Linked DNA regions of Tamandua tetradactyla. The protein of the gene in region 1 purifies or fractionates together with the protein of each later gene. This does not show direct contact. Links are inferred from orthologs where the notes say so. Each region holds a gene or a part of one and is shown in the gene's direction. Other genes may lie near its edges.

Region 1 (7,438 bases):
ACTCCAAATCACCACAGTCTATACATTAAAAAATAAAATTGTATCATTGTTAGCAAATCTGAGTTTTTTCTTCTTTTTTTTGGGCATGGGAGGGCTCTGGGAATCGAACCTGGGTGTCCTGCATGGCAGGCAAGAATTCTGCCCCTGAGCCACCACTGCCCCCCAAAACTCCTGAATTTGATCAATGTATTGTGGTTGTGTAAGAGAATCTCTTTGTCCTTAGGAAATACAAGCTAAAGTATTTAATTGATATCTGTGACTACCTTTAAATTGATGAGTTCAAATGTGTATGTCTGCATATGTGTGAGTGCGTGCCTACAGAGAGAAAGAGTGATAAAGCAAATGTGACAAAACACGAACAGCTGGTGAATCTGGATGAAGGGCACAAAGGAGTTCTTTGCATTTTCTTGGAACTTTACTCTTAAGTTTCAAATTATTCCAGAGTGAAACATTTTTAGAAAAATCTAAGTTAGACTTAGACCAGTCGGGGACACAGCTCCTAATCTGAGTAGGATTTGAAGGTATGGGAGTTAAGAGGAAATTAAATCTTGGGGAAATAATGTTATTTTGCCTTGATATTTCATTTCATTTTCAAAAATGCTTGCACAGCTCCCCTCCTGCTCGCCTTCTAGACCTGAGGGAGGCAATGGAAGACAAGGAGGTGTGGCTGAATGACGTTCCCGGACTCTGACTTGCTGTCCAGTGTGCTTTCTTCCCAAGTGAACCTCTTTCCTGGTCCTGTGCTGGAAGCCGGCTCCCCAGGTAGCTGTCAGGAGCTCCTTGGACTTGGAGCGTCTGTCTAGCTCTGGCCTCCTCGTGCTTTTTGCCTCCTGGGACTGTTTTCCAGCTGTTCTTCTATTGGGCTTCCTACCTGTCCCCACCCCTACCTGCATCAGACATCACTCCAGGGGTGGCCGATTTTCATCTTCCCTGTGTATCTTTCCAGGGTGGTTGTTCTAGTTTGCTAGCTGCTGGAATGCAATGTGCCAGAATTAGAATGGCTTTTAAAAAGGGGAATTTAATAAATTGTTAGTCTACAGTGCTAAGACCAAGAAAATGTCCCAGTTAAAGCAAGTTTATTAAAATGTCCAAACTAGGGCACCAACAAGATGTTACCTTCACTCAAAAAAAGCTGATGAAGTTCAGGGTCTCTCTCTCAACTGGAAAGGCACATGGTGAACACAGAGGCGTCTGCTAGCTTCCTCTCCAGGCTTCTCGCTTCATGCAAGTCCCCTAGGGGTGTTCTCCTTCTTCATCTCCAAAGGTAGCTGGCTGGTGGACTCTGCACTTCACTGCTCTCTTGGAATCAAAAAAGGGACTGTCTCCAAAATGCTTCTTCTTTTAAAGGATTCCGGTAAACTTATCCAGACCCACCTGGAATGGGTAGAGTCATCCCCCTCTGTTCAAAAGTTAACACCCACAATTGGGCGAGCCACAGCTATTGGGCAGAGATAATCTAATCAAGTTTCCAGCATACAGTGCTGAATAGGGTCCAAGAGAAATGGTTGTTCCCACAAAATTGGATTAGGATTAAAACATAGCTTTTTTAGGTACATAAATCTTGTCAAACCAGCACAGTGGTGTAGCCCAGTGTTAGGTATACAGAAGGAGCTCTGTAAGTCTTTCCTGATCCACTATTTCAGAAAGCTTTTAATGAAAGCTCAGAGGATAGGAGATGGGTATGAACAATTTTTTTTTGGTCCTTGTGATGGTCAGGTTCATGTGTCAACTTGACCGGGAGATGTTGTCCACTTATCTGGTCAAGCAAGCACTGGCCTAACTGTGACATTTTGTGGACTTAAATCATCAGTAAGTTGATTGTGCTTGCATGGCTGATTACAACTACAATCAACTAAGGAGAGTGTCTTTGGCAATGAGAGATGTTTCATACAATCAGTCGAAGGCTTTAAAAGGAGAAGTGATGACTTCAGTAGTCAGAAAAAAGAACTTTCATCTCCACTTCAGCCAACCAGCTTTTCCTGAGGGGAGTTCATCAAATACCCTCACTGGAGTGGCCAGCTTGCTGCCTGCCCTACAGAATTTGCACCTGTGCATCCCTACAGTTGCATGAGACACTGTTATAAAATCTCACAATATTCACAGATATCTCCTGTTCGTTCTGTTTCCCAAGAGAACCCCGACTGATAAGTCCTCTAACTATCAACAGGCTTAATGCGTATTAATTTTAGAAGAGGTATGAACACACAAGCCAACAAACCAAGAGAATTCACAAAATGCTCCATTTTGAATGAGTAGAACTTTTGACATGGGTGCTGTAAAGCTGAAACCCATGTTGTACTCAGGGGTGGGACCATGCTGTGGCCCAGCTCTCTCCTGGCCTTCCTGAAGGGGGTCTTTACATGTGCTGATCCTCTCAAGTCCCTTGAAAACTTCTGTAGGGAAAGGGTGGCCTTCATCAGTTTTGCCACTGTGTGACCTTTCCCCAGCCCCCGAACACCAAGTTCTGCCAACTGGCAGCAGCCCCCAAGAGGCACTACTTACACTAAGTCTCGATCTCGTCACTGAAAGTACCCCGGGGAGGTGGACAGAGCAGGCTTTAGTGTGACAATCCTGGGACAGCAATTTCACCCCAAGTGGCAGGATGGACTAAGTGAGGATGTAGTGCTACCTCCTAAGGAGGCTTCACATGTGAGTGACCATCAGGGTAAGGCAGGATGGAATAGGCCATCAAGGCTGTGGTCCCTGGTCTTCTATTCAGCTTCAAAAGAGTTAATACAGAGCTGCAAACTTCCTAGGACAAGAAATTCCCCTAAAGCCCTGAAACCTCCTCAAACCATTGAAACCTCCCCAAACCATAAAAGCTTGTAAAATCCTGGACCCAAAGCAAATTCTTAGTTAATGATAGGAAGCACAGGGCCATAAAGATTGTTAACCATATGCTCAAAGATAAATTTTAGGTATGTGACAACAAACCATGAATTCTCCTCCTAGAACAGAGAAGAGGCCTCCTGCCCAAAGGCCACCGTGGGAATCTGCACAAAGAAGACACCTGGTGCTCACAGGTTACTACGGAAACCTGCTACCAACAAGACATCCTATAAAGCAAGCTAAACCCCACCCACTCAGTGCCCCTCCCCTGGGCATGGCTGCATTAACCTCTCTAATATGTACTCTCTCCTTCTGTTTAATAAATTTACTATTTATTCTTACTGCCTTCTCTAAATTCTTTTAGCTGTGGGACCTGGAAGGGGGCTCAGGTGGCACCATTGCGAACCAGGTACCAGTTACAAAGGGACTTCTGTCCCTTGGAGGTGAGTGAAGGTCATTCATTACACCCCATTCCTGTTTCTTTTCCCTCCCTGGTCTTTCCAAATTGGTTCAGGAATACTCTGGTTGATATGAAAAGCAGGCATCAGAGATGGAATTGTAAGATTTACTGTTTGTCCCCTAGGAAACTGTAAGATGCAAGAAGCTGCAGAGTGCACCCACTTCAGAGCTTTGCTATCTGGGTTCAAATCTGGGCCCCAACATTTCCCACCAGCATGAACGTGGGCAGAATTATTGAATCTCTGTACCTAGGTTTCCTCATCTGCAAAGCAGGAATGATAATATTAGCACCTTCCTTATAAGGGCTGTTGAGAGGATTATACAAATTAATACATAAAGCATTTAAACCATGGTCTGTGTAAACCTTTGCTATTACTGCATTGCACTGAATCTGATACATGATCTTATTTTATGTAACACTAAGAAATTAAGTGTTGTCAGTTGAGCTTAACCTCCCCTTCCTCCCTCAGCCAACCTCCAAACCTAGAAAGAACTTTTGTTTCTAAATAATAGCAATAGAGCTATCACAAACATTATGACGTGTTATTAATTGTAACTGCATCTAAAATTTATACTGATTTCAGAAATGTGAAACAAATGTGTTCCAAAATAGATGGAACATAGTATAGCTGTGATTAGTGGGCTAGAGCTAGTGTCAGCATTCTATGCCTTAGGCACCCGGGTAACTTTATGCAAACTACCTAACCTCTCTGTGCCCCAGTTTCCTCATTCGCCAAGAATGTTCGGTGAGTTAAATATGTAAGTACTTAGAAAGTGCCCGGCCTAAGTAGACACTATCTGGCTTATTACTTAGAAACAAAGTTCTTCTTTCCAGGTTCGAAGTTTGGCTAGAGTAGGGAGGACAGTAAGCACCGAGTTGGCTTTTTAAACAAAGGAGGCCCTGTCCTCTCCCACCTCCCAAGTCGCCCAGGTAAGGAGAACCTGCGACCCCAGCCTCCGCCCCCACTCGGCCCCGCCCTACGGGGGCCGGCCCCGCCCCGCTCTTCCTGGCCCTGCCCCTAAGCTAGTCTCGCGCTCTTTCAAATTGCGCGAGCTCCAGCCGAGACCCAGGGTTGGCGGTTAGTTGGGCGAAACCATCCTCTACGCTACGTGGGAGGAAGGTAAAAGCCTACGCGCCCACGTTTTTTCAGTTTTTAGCTTTTCAAGTCCAACTGGTGATGTTATTTTAGACGAAAAGTACTATTAGCACGCGCAGACTCCAAAGAGGGAAGCTGACTAGCCGGAGAGAGGTTATTGTGTTTCTGTGCGGGGTCCTCCCCCCTGTTGGCGGGGATCCGGTGGGAGAGGATGGCGACGGGCGGGGGAAGGAGGCGGCCCTAGCGCCATTTTGTGAGAGCGAAGCGGTGGCTGGCCTGCTCTCGGGCCCGTCGGTGTTTTGGTTTACCTGTCGGGCTTCCTAGCAGCTTCCTGGAGGGTGAGTTGCGGACGCTTCCCACTGAGGACGCCCTGGATGGCGCTGCTTTCCTATTGGGGTGGCCTAGGCAGATGCAGAGGCGTCAGAGTCCGCCTGGGGAAGGGAGCCATGAGGCCAGGCCTCCCTCGTCCTGCCCGAGTAGGCTCGCGCGGGAGCGGCGTTGGGGGGAGCCGCGGGCCGGCAGCAGGCGCCAGTGTTGGGATGCTGGGCCCACGGGGCCATCCAGTATGAGGCGGAGTGGGTGTAGGGACCGTGAGTTGGCCTTTCTCCTGGCCCGGCCAGTGCTTTATCCCTTAGGCACTTGGCACTCGGGGGGACACTGTCAGCCCAGGCCTAGTACCCCTGCGGCTCCACCCCGGGACGCGCTTAAAAACTCCTCCCTCGGCGGTCACGCGCTGGCTTCTGGGAGGTGGCAGCGCGGATCCGAAGGACTGGTCGTAGCTGTTCCTAAGGCACAAGTTTGGAGAGTCCACGGAAGCCCTAAAACGAGGGACCGAAGGGAAGGGAACTTTTCTCTCTTCACCTAGCTCATTTCTTTTCGTTCAGTCTTCAAGTTTGAGCATTATACATCACTTTCTTAAGGAAACCTATTGTGGCATGCGTGCTCTTTGGCATACATATGCACACGCCTCAACCAGCTTTGATTCTCCCCGGCTTTCTCAGAGTTATTTACTTTTTTTTCCCGGTAGCATATGTATGTCTCGATTGCAACAAAATTACATGTTAACTGTATTTCTGCTGATTATTCCTACCCCTTTGTAACCAAGCATGCCACTTGGGATCGACTGCTTTCATAGTCCTAAAGTTGCAGCACCTGATGCAAAGTAGTTACTTACTGAATGAGTGAACCTAGGACGGTATCGTATTTTAATAGGAAATTGCTTTCCTTGTGCTTGCCTCATCTCTTAGTGATAACCGATAGGTGTAAGAATCAGAGCAGCAAGAATTTTTGTGGAAGTTGTAGAACCATAACCTGGTGATAGGAGTTTTCACCTGATTGTAAGAAAAGTGTTCTTCATGTGAGTGTTGGTCATTCATCTCTCTTTTCACTTTAAGAAAAATAAGAAAAGATGTCTGAATATATTCGGGTAACCGAAGATGAGAATGACGAGCCTATTGAAATACCATCAGAAGATGATGGGACAGTGCTGCTGTCCACAGTTACGGCCCAGTTTCCAGGAGCATGTGGTCTGCGCTACAGGAATCCAGTGTCTCAATGTATGAGAGGTGTCCGGCTAGTAGAAGGAGTTCTGCATGCACCTGATGCAGGCTGGGGAAATCTTGTCTACGTTGTCAACTATCCCAAAGGTTTGTTACCACTTGGTTTTACAATTATGCTGAAGTATGGTGAGGTTGTTTCTCATTCTGAGTCATCCATCATGGCCTCCGTTTATGGTGAAACATCTCCTATAATGTTAGTTGTTCCTCAAACTTTATTAGACTGCTTTGAGTGACAACTAGCCTAGATTAGTAAAAATTGAGAATTGTGGGGCATTTCTAGAGAAAAAATACTGTATTTTTTTAATCAGAACAAGTGTAAACCAGACTGGTGACAAATTTAAGAAACTATTAAAAACAATACAGTCTTCCAAAGTGCCCCCAGATTTGGATTTGGTTGGTCATTGCTCATACAGTCACATCCTTCATTCGCCTAATCTGACATCTTTTATTTTCCGTTAAGTGAGCATCAATTGCAGTACCTCAAATCTTGACTCAATCAGTGTTGGTCCTGGTCTTATTTCTTCTTGCTGCCTCTTCTCAGTGATGTTCTAAATTTAAGAAAAGTAAAAATGAACATTAAGAAAGCTATAGGTGCATTTTAGCAGCAGGAATGCACATATCTACATGGTAACTTTTATTTATAACTTGATATTGCAACAAGATTAGCCCATCAGACTTCTTCAAGATGGAGGACATCTAGAAAATTTTTAGAAGTGCAGTTCAGGTTTTCTTAGGTACGATTTTTAAACCATTGGCTATAGATTAATATTTGTCCAAATTTAAGATGTTACTCATATCCTAAAGATTACTTTTTTTAAAAAAAAAATGAGATTTTTTTAATTACAGAATTAATATGTTTGCATTGTGGAAAGATTAGGAAAGACAAAAAACTTAAAATTATCCTTAAATCCACGACTTGGAGATAAGAGTTCCTATTTTTTTGGTATATGTTCTTTAGGTTATAAAAGATATTTAGATAATTTGGCAAATATGTTTACTGTGTAAGCACAAAGATAGTATACTGGTTTTTAACCTTTTCTTTTTCCTGAGTTTAATGTTATTTTTAAGTCAAAGTGAGGTAATTTTGTTTTGATACACTTTTCCAGTAGGAGAATATGCAGTTATAGTCTTGTGAGTTGGGAATCCCTGAATTTACACCAGGAAAGTATCTCAGGCACTTATTCTAGGTCTTATTTTGTCCTTGAGAGCTAACATCATTTCTTGACAAAATTTTTCAATGTCTTACTCTTCTTGGATTTTTCCTTTTGCATTTCATTTCTAGACATAGAGGTGGTATGTTTTAAGACATGTTAAATGAAGTTTTCTGAGAGATTTCTGTTTTATTCAGATAACAAAAGAAAGATGGATGAAACTGATGCTTCATCAGCAGTGAAAGTGAAAAGAGCAGTCCAGAAAACATCTGATTTAATAGTATTGGGCCTTCCATGGAAAACAACTGAACAAGATCTAAAAGAATATTTTAGTACCTTTGGA
Region 2 (8,242 bases), on another chromosome or scaffold:
CATATTATTAATATGATTGTTATTTGGTCTTCTAAACCACAGAAGGTGGGGCCTTCTAGATTCATAGGTAGTATCAGAGTGTGCTGGAAAAAGCCTTTTGCAGAGCTTTGGCTGTAGATTACCAGGATTTGCCATGGGCTCCAAAATCCTCAAACCACTTCGAAATTTCTGTATGCAGCATTACCGAGTGCTACACATGAAAGGATAAAGAGCACATAGCAGTCTTTCAGAAGTTTTTGAGGAGACCATGCCCCTTTCTCTACTATCCTCCTTCCCTGAATAGGATGATTGAGGAGCGGGTAAGAGAACACGAAGTCAGAGTCCTAGCTTCCAGCCCTAGCTGGGTAAACTTGTGCAAGTTACTTAACCTCTCTGAGTCTGTTTTTTTTTTTATTGTGAAATATGACATATATACAAAAAAGCAATACATTTCCAAGTACATTTTAACAAGCAGTTATAGAATAGATTTTAAGGTTTGGTATGAGTTACAGTTCCATGATTTTTTGTGTTTTCTTTTAGCTGCTCCAAGACACTGGAGACCAATGGAAATATCAGTGATTCAGCAGTCATACTTATTTGCTAAATCCTTTCTTCTCTATTAAACTCCTCCTTCTTTAAAAATAACATATATACACAAAAGCAATACATTTCAAAGTATATCACAACAATTAGTTGTAGAACAGATCTCAGAGTTTGGTATGGGTTACAATTCCACAATTTTAGGTTTTTACTGTTAGCTGCTCTAAGGTACTGGAGGCTGAAACAAGTATAATGATTCAGCACTCATACTCATTTGTTAAACCTGACCTTCTCTGTATAACTCCACCATCACCTTTGATCTTTTTTCCACTCTTTAGGGATATTTGGGCTATACCCATTCTAACTTTTTCATGTTGAAAGGGCTATCAATAATATGAGATAGGGGAATGGAACTAGTTGATGTTCTGGAAAGGCTGGCCCCTCTGTATTTCAGGACTTATCTGGTCCAGGGACCCATTTGGAGGTTGTAGGTTTTGGAAGGTTACCCTAGTGCGTGGAACCTTTGTAGAATCTTATGAAATGCCCTAGGTATTCTTTAGGATTGGCAGGAATGGTTTTGATTGGGGTTTGGCAAGTTATGAAAGGTAGCAATGTTTAACTGAAGCTTGTGTAAGAGTGACTACCAAAGTAGCCTCTCAACTCTATTTGAACTCTCAGCCACTGATACCTTATTTTTTCCCCTTTTGTCAGGACAGCATTGTTGATTGCACGGTGCCAGGGCCAGGCTCATCCCTGGGGATCATCCACCCCTAGATGTCATGTCCCCCATAGGGGGGAGGGTAATGGTTTCACTTGCACAATTGGGCTTAAAGAGAGAAAGGCCACATCTGAGCAACAAAAGAGGGCCTCTGGACGTGGCTCTTAGGTATACTGATAGGTAGGCTAAGCTTCTCTGCTATATACATAAGCTTCACAAGAGCAAGCCTCAAGATGAAGGACTTGCCCTTTTGATTTGGTCTCAGCCTGTTTTCGTACTTCAGAAATGGGAAATAGGGCTGTTGTGAAGATTAAATGAGATCATCTTTGTAAAGAATATCAACGAAGTGCCAGGCTCATGATGTGTGCTCCATAGGATTTGAGGAAGTGAAGCCTTTGCAGACAGTGCCAAAGGAGGAAGTAATCCAGTTAGGCATGTATTTCCAAGTTAATAAGGATCTGTTTGGATCTTGGTATGATTTTTTGTACAATAAGGAGTGGAAAAAAAAGAATTCAGTGAGTGGAGGAAGGAAGCCTCATTTTCAAAACCCTCAAAACCTACAAAGGTAAGTGTGGCATTCCACCTGGTTGGTTTGTTTTAAAGATCAAAGTTTCCATATTTGCAGTTCCTTGTGCCAGTATTAAATTTTTTTAAAATACATGCACATGGTAAAACAAACAAACAAACAAACAAAACTTTACTGTACCAAAGTTTATAGAATGGAAAGGAAGAGTTTCTTCTTTCCTGGCCCAAGTTTACCTCCCTATTAGCAATTAGTAACAGTTTCTCGAGACTCCTTTCGGACATAACCTATGCAGACACAGCAAAATCAAAGAAATAAATAACTATAGCAACACTGTGTATCAAAAGAAATAATCACCTCATAGCTACTCTTCCATTTTTACACAAATGTTTTTTTCTATATTTCTTCTATATTTTGCTCTCTTCATGTGTTGATTTCTCTTAGAGATCATTCTATAACCATACATATAGGTATATCTTGTTTTCTGTGTGGCTGCCTAACAGTCCATTGTAAGAGTGTACTGTGTTGTATTATATCTATACCAATCTCATATTGCTAGAGATGTGGACTGTTTCCTCTTTCTACTAGAAACAGTGTTGCAATGAATATTATTATACTGGGTTCTTACCCACAGGTGAGAGTTTAACAGTTAAGACTCATACATGCACACATTTGCTTTAATGCAATTTTATTGAGATAAAGTCACAGACCATAGATGCCATCAGCACACACTTTTTTTTTCATGAGGCAGGCACCGGGAAATGAACGCACACACGTTTTTCATAAGGCTTAGCAAACTATTAGCTATGTTTGCGAAACACTGATCCAGATGATGTTTTAAGGGCCATTCTTTAATATTTCTCACACCCTTCCACTTCTTCCATCAGACTAAGTTTTCTGGGTCTTAGCATGCTTCCACTCCCTCTGATTTTCAGAGCTTTGGGGAGGACTGGCAGAAAGAGAAGAGTGAGGTAGTATATTGGAGGGGATTGTAGAATTTGCTTGGCAATGGAGATCAAGAGCAGAAGGACGCTTGGGACTTTTCCTTAGAGAACTTAAATTAATCTCCTAGAGGAGAGTTTCTCAACCTTGAGCTTTATCCAGTAGATGCCAGACTGTAAATTTTTGCCAATTTGGGCTCACTAGAGTTTCAGTTTGGAGTGTCATCTTTGTAAAATGCAAATCTTAGCCCACTTTAAAAAATCCTCCAGGGGCTCTCCACTGCCCTCAGAATAAAGTCCGGATTCCTTACTATGAGCTACATGATCTTAGAGGTTCCTTAGCTCAGAAAATTTCAGCCACTTCTTTCCTCTAGGCTGATTTCCCTCCTCTGCCAGCCAGTTCCTCCGTCTTGGGATCTCCTGCCCCAAACGCAGAGCCCCAGTCTGCTGAATGGGTGAGGTTAAGCAGGGACAACGACTTGATCATTCCTGACCCCCAGTCCATGCCGCTCAATAAATGCTGGATGAGCGAGGCTGATACGGGAGCGGAACCTTGGAGGACCAGATGTGGGACCACAACCCCCAAGAAGGTGCTCTTTCTATCTCTCCTGTGGCCTCCCCGCGTCTCCAGTCTTCGCGGCCAGGCTTGGCCTCGGGAGGTCCAAAGAGGACAGGGCCAGTCACGCTAGGCTGCTTGCTGCGGGCGCCCCTTTTTCCTTCCAGCCCGGGCTGGGCCGGCCCAGCTCAGTCTTCTCTCCTCCCACAGAGACGACGCTCAACTTACTTCACTTCCAACTTTCTTAGTAAAACTTAACGGGAGACCCTTCTGGATGGGCACAAGGCTGAAATGAGAAATTACTGGGGCGTGTCTGCGCTTTGGAACTCAACAAATGTCCACATAAAACGCTCATGGTGACCAAGAGAGGGCACAACAAAATGGTAAGAGACCGGGGCAGAACCTGGCTGGGGCGTCACTTGGCCCCTTAAGTATTTCGGAAAATCTTTGGAATGTCCATCTAGGAGTCTGACAATTTAACTTTTAAAGGAGCCACGACACGAAGAAAACAGCAAAATTTCCTCCCGCCCCCCACCCCCGCCTCCCTGCAATTAAAAGAGGAATGACAATGGCGGTGACGCACAGGATGTTGCATCAAGGTCCAAACTTGATCCGAGCATTTGCAAACTACCGTTCCTCCGCAACGACAAAAAGGGAAAATCTGATTAAAACACCCACGAGCCTCTGATTGGGCAGGCCAACAGCAGCACTTGCCAAGAGGCAACGGGGTAGAAATCTGTGCTCTCAAACTTAACAGTTTCACACGTCACCTTTTTGTATTACCTTACAGACACAACAGGAGTTACTTACTTCTTGTTTCCCTGTAACTGTTGCCCAACAATTATGTCGACTAACTATAAGAGCCAGCGAGGATCCTCAGGGTGTTGCATGGAAATAAAAGACAGTTGCAATAAAAAGGAGAAAAAATACCTAACCGGAAACTTTACCACTTTGTTCCTCTGGTATCAAGCTATGCGCAAAGGGTGGGAGCGGAAGCCTCGGGGGCCGGACCATGCAATGAGAAAGAAAGACCCGAAGCCCGAGCCAGGAAAGGATTACAACCGCCCTGCGCCGCACACGGGCCCTAGGGCTTGGTCGCCTTGGTCGCCTTGGAGCAGTCCAAGCCCCGCGTCAATCAGCTCCTTTCCGCATTGCGATTGGCCGGGGGTCTCCCTTGGACGCCCCAGCGCCCACCATCTAGTTGCTTGGGGTTTACTTCCCCAAAGTACACGGGCTCCACCTTGTGGAGCAACCGCTCCTGCCTGGAAAACGGATCTCCGCCCTGAGGAAGATGTTTTAACGAATGAGAGTAGTTCCCTGCACTTATTGGTTACTATGGGTATCGGTCAAATAACTTCCGCCCCCCTTTCCACTGTACCTTTTAGTTATTGGTTTCTCTTAGTGCCAATCCGTTACTAGGGAAACCGGATCCTCACAGCCTTATAGGCCAGTGTCAAAGCCAATCAAGAATCACGCCTTCACCTTGAGTCAGTACCCAATTGTGGTTCGAAGAGACCAGAGGACGCATTAGGGATTGGTCATCGGCTCGCCCGAGCTGGCCGCAACAAGTTAGGGTGAGTCGTGCTTATATAGACCGGCGGCGGAGCACGCGTGTGTGCGGACGCAGTTGCGTGAGAGATTTCTTGCCATCCGCCCTGCTGTGGAGCAAAGCTTGTTCCTCTCCCACTTAGCCGCACAGGTACACCGGGGTTTGGGCGGGGCTGGGCCGCCCGAGGATGAGGACGGGTCGGGGCCGTGTGAAAGGGAGCAGCGCTAGTGGCACTTACGGCGGCCGCGCGGGGCGCGTCCCCCAACCCCCACCCCAACGGCCGCAGGCACGCGAGGCGATCGGACGGGCGCGCGGCCTTTCCCCGCCCCGCTCCCGCGCCTGGCGCGCGGGGCCGCGTCCGCCGCGTGCGCGTGCCGCGTCCAACGGCCACGCGAGGCGGGAGCGAGCAGCAGTCGCCGCCCGGGCCTGGGGCCATCTCCGGGGTCCTTGGGGCCCCGCGCGGCCCCGTGGCCTGGCCCAGGAGGGAACTTTTCTTCAGAGGTGGGGGCGACGCTGAGTGCGATAACCTGCGAGGCAGAAGTGCCGCTGCGCCTTGGTTTTACAAGGAGTAATGAGGGAGCAGCCGCGTGTATGGATAGCGCTAACAACACCGAGAATTCTTTGTACCCCTCGCTGTGTGCCGGGCACTGTTCTAAGCAGGTCGTATACATTTCGTGTAACTCTCACAACGACCCAAGAGGTAGATACAGTTATTTCCCGCAATTTACGGTGGACTCTGAGACGCAGAAGTAGACGGACATGGTCAGAGATACGGACGGTAAGGGACAGCTATTTTTTTGAATCCAAGCTGTCTCACTCCTAGTCTTGAGCTCATTTTGTTCTTTGCTCTAATACTCTTTGCGGTCCCAGGTCACCTTTGCACCCAGAACACTGGTCACTGGATGCAACCGCAGCTTGGAAAGGCCAACTGCCGAGAAGACTGCGGCGGCATTTGCACTAAGGCCACATAATGGCTTTCAGGAAGACAGACAAGGGCTGGAAGTGGGATTATGACAAAGAAAAGGGGTCTGGGCTTCCTTTCTACGTGTGTTTGTGTAGATAGTTTATAGCTGTGCTGTCCTAACAGCTTCTGGAAAGTGTAGGAAAAAGTGAATTAATGCAAATCAAGGTGGACTATGTTACTAGTCAGGTATCAAACTCAACGTGGTAATGGGAAATTCCCGCCAGCAGAAAGTTAGAATCTGCTAAGCAGAACACGAATTTTTTTTCTTTTTCTTTTTTTAAATCGGAGCAAACTTTTGAGAAAGACCTTTGAGAAGATAGTTTAACTTCCTTGTTTTAAAGTTGAAGAAAATGACGTTTAGACCAGTGAGTTTCAGATTTCACCAACATGTGTGGGTTAAGATTTGAAATAGGAATGGAAAGAACGACTCCCAGTTACAGGATAAATTTGAGCTGGATGGAGTTTAAAATACTGAGTGAATTACCGGTGATTGCGATGTGCTGGAAGTCATACCCTTGTGGCAGTTGGAATCTTGCTTGCCTATATTCAATTCAGCATTTAGCATTTACCCTGCTGGGCTCTCACATATGCAGCAGAGTGGAAGGCACCTACCTGCCTTGCCTTTAAGGAAATGTGTTTATATTTTTCTTGTAGAATTAATTGTATTAGATTTTTTTTGAAGCCAGTATACTCCTTGGCTAATGAAATAATAAATGTTCCTAAGTTTCAAGTCCACATCGTTACTTTGCATTATAAATGCCTCTGCTTGAGACAGAACTATAGTAAAGTTTTTAGGACTCTCTTTTGAACTAGGCTTGAATTGAATAGCTTTCAAACTGTTCTCTTTTTATCTCTTCCTTTGTTTTCTTTCTATCTACCTCTTTCTCTCAAGAAATTTATCTATCCTGCTATGTTTGACCAGATACATTTAAGATTGGTGTTTTAAATAAATGGTTTTTGCAGTCAGAGGGAACACATAGTGTTGCATATCCTTGTAAATAAATTAAAAACAAGGAGGAAGTTTAATAAATGTCTCTCTGGAAATTGATACTACTGTTTCCCATGTTTCTTAGTAGAAACTAGCAATAGATAAAGGATCAAAGTATACAGGCAAGATCTTGCCTTTAGTTGATGTTGCCACAAATAACAGTTTGCTTTGAAATATAACATTGTTCTACGTCGCATGATTTTATGTAGCAATTCCTGTGACCTACATTTAGAGAATAGTTAACTACAAAATTAGTATTTTAAGACATGTTAAGATGTGAAATTTAAGTTTTAGTTATCAAATGTTAGAATACTATAATGACCTACATTTAGACTACTTAATTTGAGTCCAACTAATTTTATTAATGCTTGGGATAAAATGACTGAAATTGCCTTATGCATTGAGGGGAATTTTGTTAGTTTCTCCTTTAAATATTAAACGTACTATTCTTGCCCTCAGAGGAATGGTTATTAGTTGAGCAGAAATTTTAAAAATGATATTTTACAAATGGTACCCCAGTTGATCTTTTGTGCATCAATTTATCACGAACAAGTGAATTTTGAAGCAGGTTGTGGTAATACAAGACTTGAGTCTCCCTATTCCCCAAGTCATGTTATTTTTGTTAAGAGTTAAAAAATGTTTTCAAATTTGAGCTCTTGTACTTTTCTAACAAGTAGAAAAATGTAGGCAGGTCTTTGTCCTTTATTTAACCTACACTCAGCTGACAGTCTACTAAGGGAACTTCAAAAGATTTGGTCATGTTGGTAACCTACTTAGCAATTTTTTTTTTTTGTTTACTTGTTTTAGTATTTTGTATAGAAAGCCAAAGGTCAGCATAAAAAGCAGAGATTAGCTTTCACTTTTTATAGGTTTGGGAATTATATATAGTTCTTAGAGGATACTTGGGAGCCAATGTTAAAAGATGAAATTTAATATAAAGCATGAGTTTGTGGCTTGTGTGTGTGCGCGCTAGTTTTACAAAACTGCTTATCTGGTGTTTTCCTTACTTTTTATAATTAGGTTGGTTTTTAAAAAATAGTGTTTAGGAGTTCAAATATGCGTTGTGTGTTCATTTAATTATGTGTGGTTTAAGGCTACCTAGGACCAAAATTCCTACTGACTTGTCTTGAAACCTTACAAAAGGGCATCACTGTCAAAAGTAGGTAGATTAAAAAAAAAAAAAAAAAAACCCAACTGCTGTACTCCTCCTTCCAGGCCTGGAGTTAAATTTAGATTTTGCAACTGTAACCTAACTTTTAGTCAGTAATCACATTGGAAGTTAACTAGGTTTATAGTTTTAAATACTCAAAATTCAGTTTGCTGGTTTTTTTTCTTTTAATGCCCTCTTAGATACCCTGTCTGGCCTTGGTTAGAGAAATTTGACTTTTAAACTTGGAGACTGGGTGAAGAGCTAAAAATAATCTGCATGTGAAAACTCAAGAGCAGGCTTTACTAAGCAGAAAGCAATTTAAAAGTTCTTACAA

Evidence for each region.
Region 2: the proteins of TARDBP (region 1) and G3BP1 purify together in Homo sapiens (affinity purification with mass spectrometry; 3 studies listed by BioGRID, with this or other methods). This does not show direct contact. The link is inferred for Tamandua tetradactyla from reciprocal best matches to the Homo sapiens genes TARDBP and G3BP1.

What each region holds. Positions count from the first base shown.
Region 1 is NC_135328.1:214,373,811-214,381,248, reverse strand, and holds the start of TARDBP (TAR DNA-binding protein 43), read left to right. Parts: upstream 1-4,331; 5' UTR 4,332-4,409; intron 4,410-4,434; exon of another isoform or gene 4,435-5,092; intron 5,093-5,779; 5' UTR 5,780-5,793; coding exon 5,794-6,031; intron 6,032-7,292; coding exon 7,293-7,438. UniProt on the Homo sapiens protein: RNA-binding protein that is involved in various steps of RNA biogenesis and processing.
Region 2 is NC_135346.1:32,602,581-32,610,822, forward strand, and holds the start of G3BP1 (ras GTPase-activating protein-binding protein 1), read left to right. Parts: upstream 1-5,202; 5' UTR 5,203-5,377; coding exon 5,378-5,584; intron 5,585-8,242. UniProt on the Homo sapiens protein: Protein involved in various processes, such as stress granule formation and innate immunity. Plays an essential role in stress granule formation.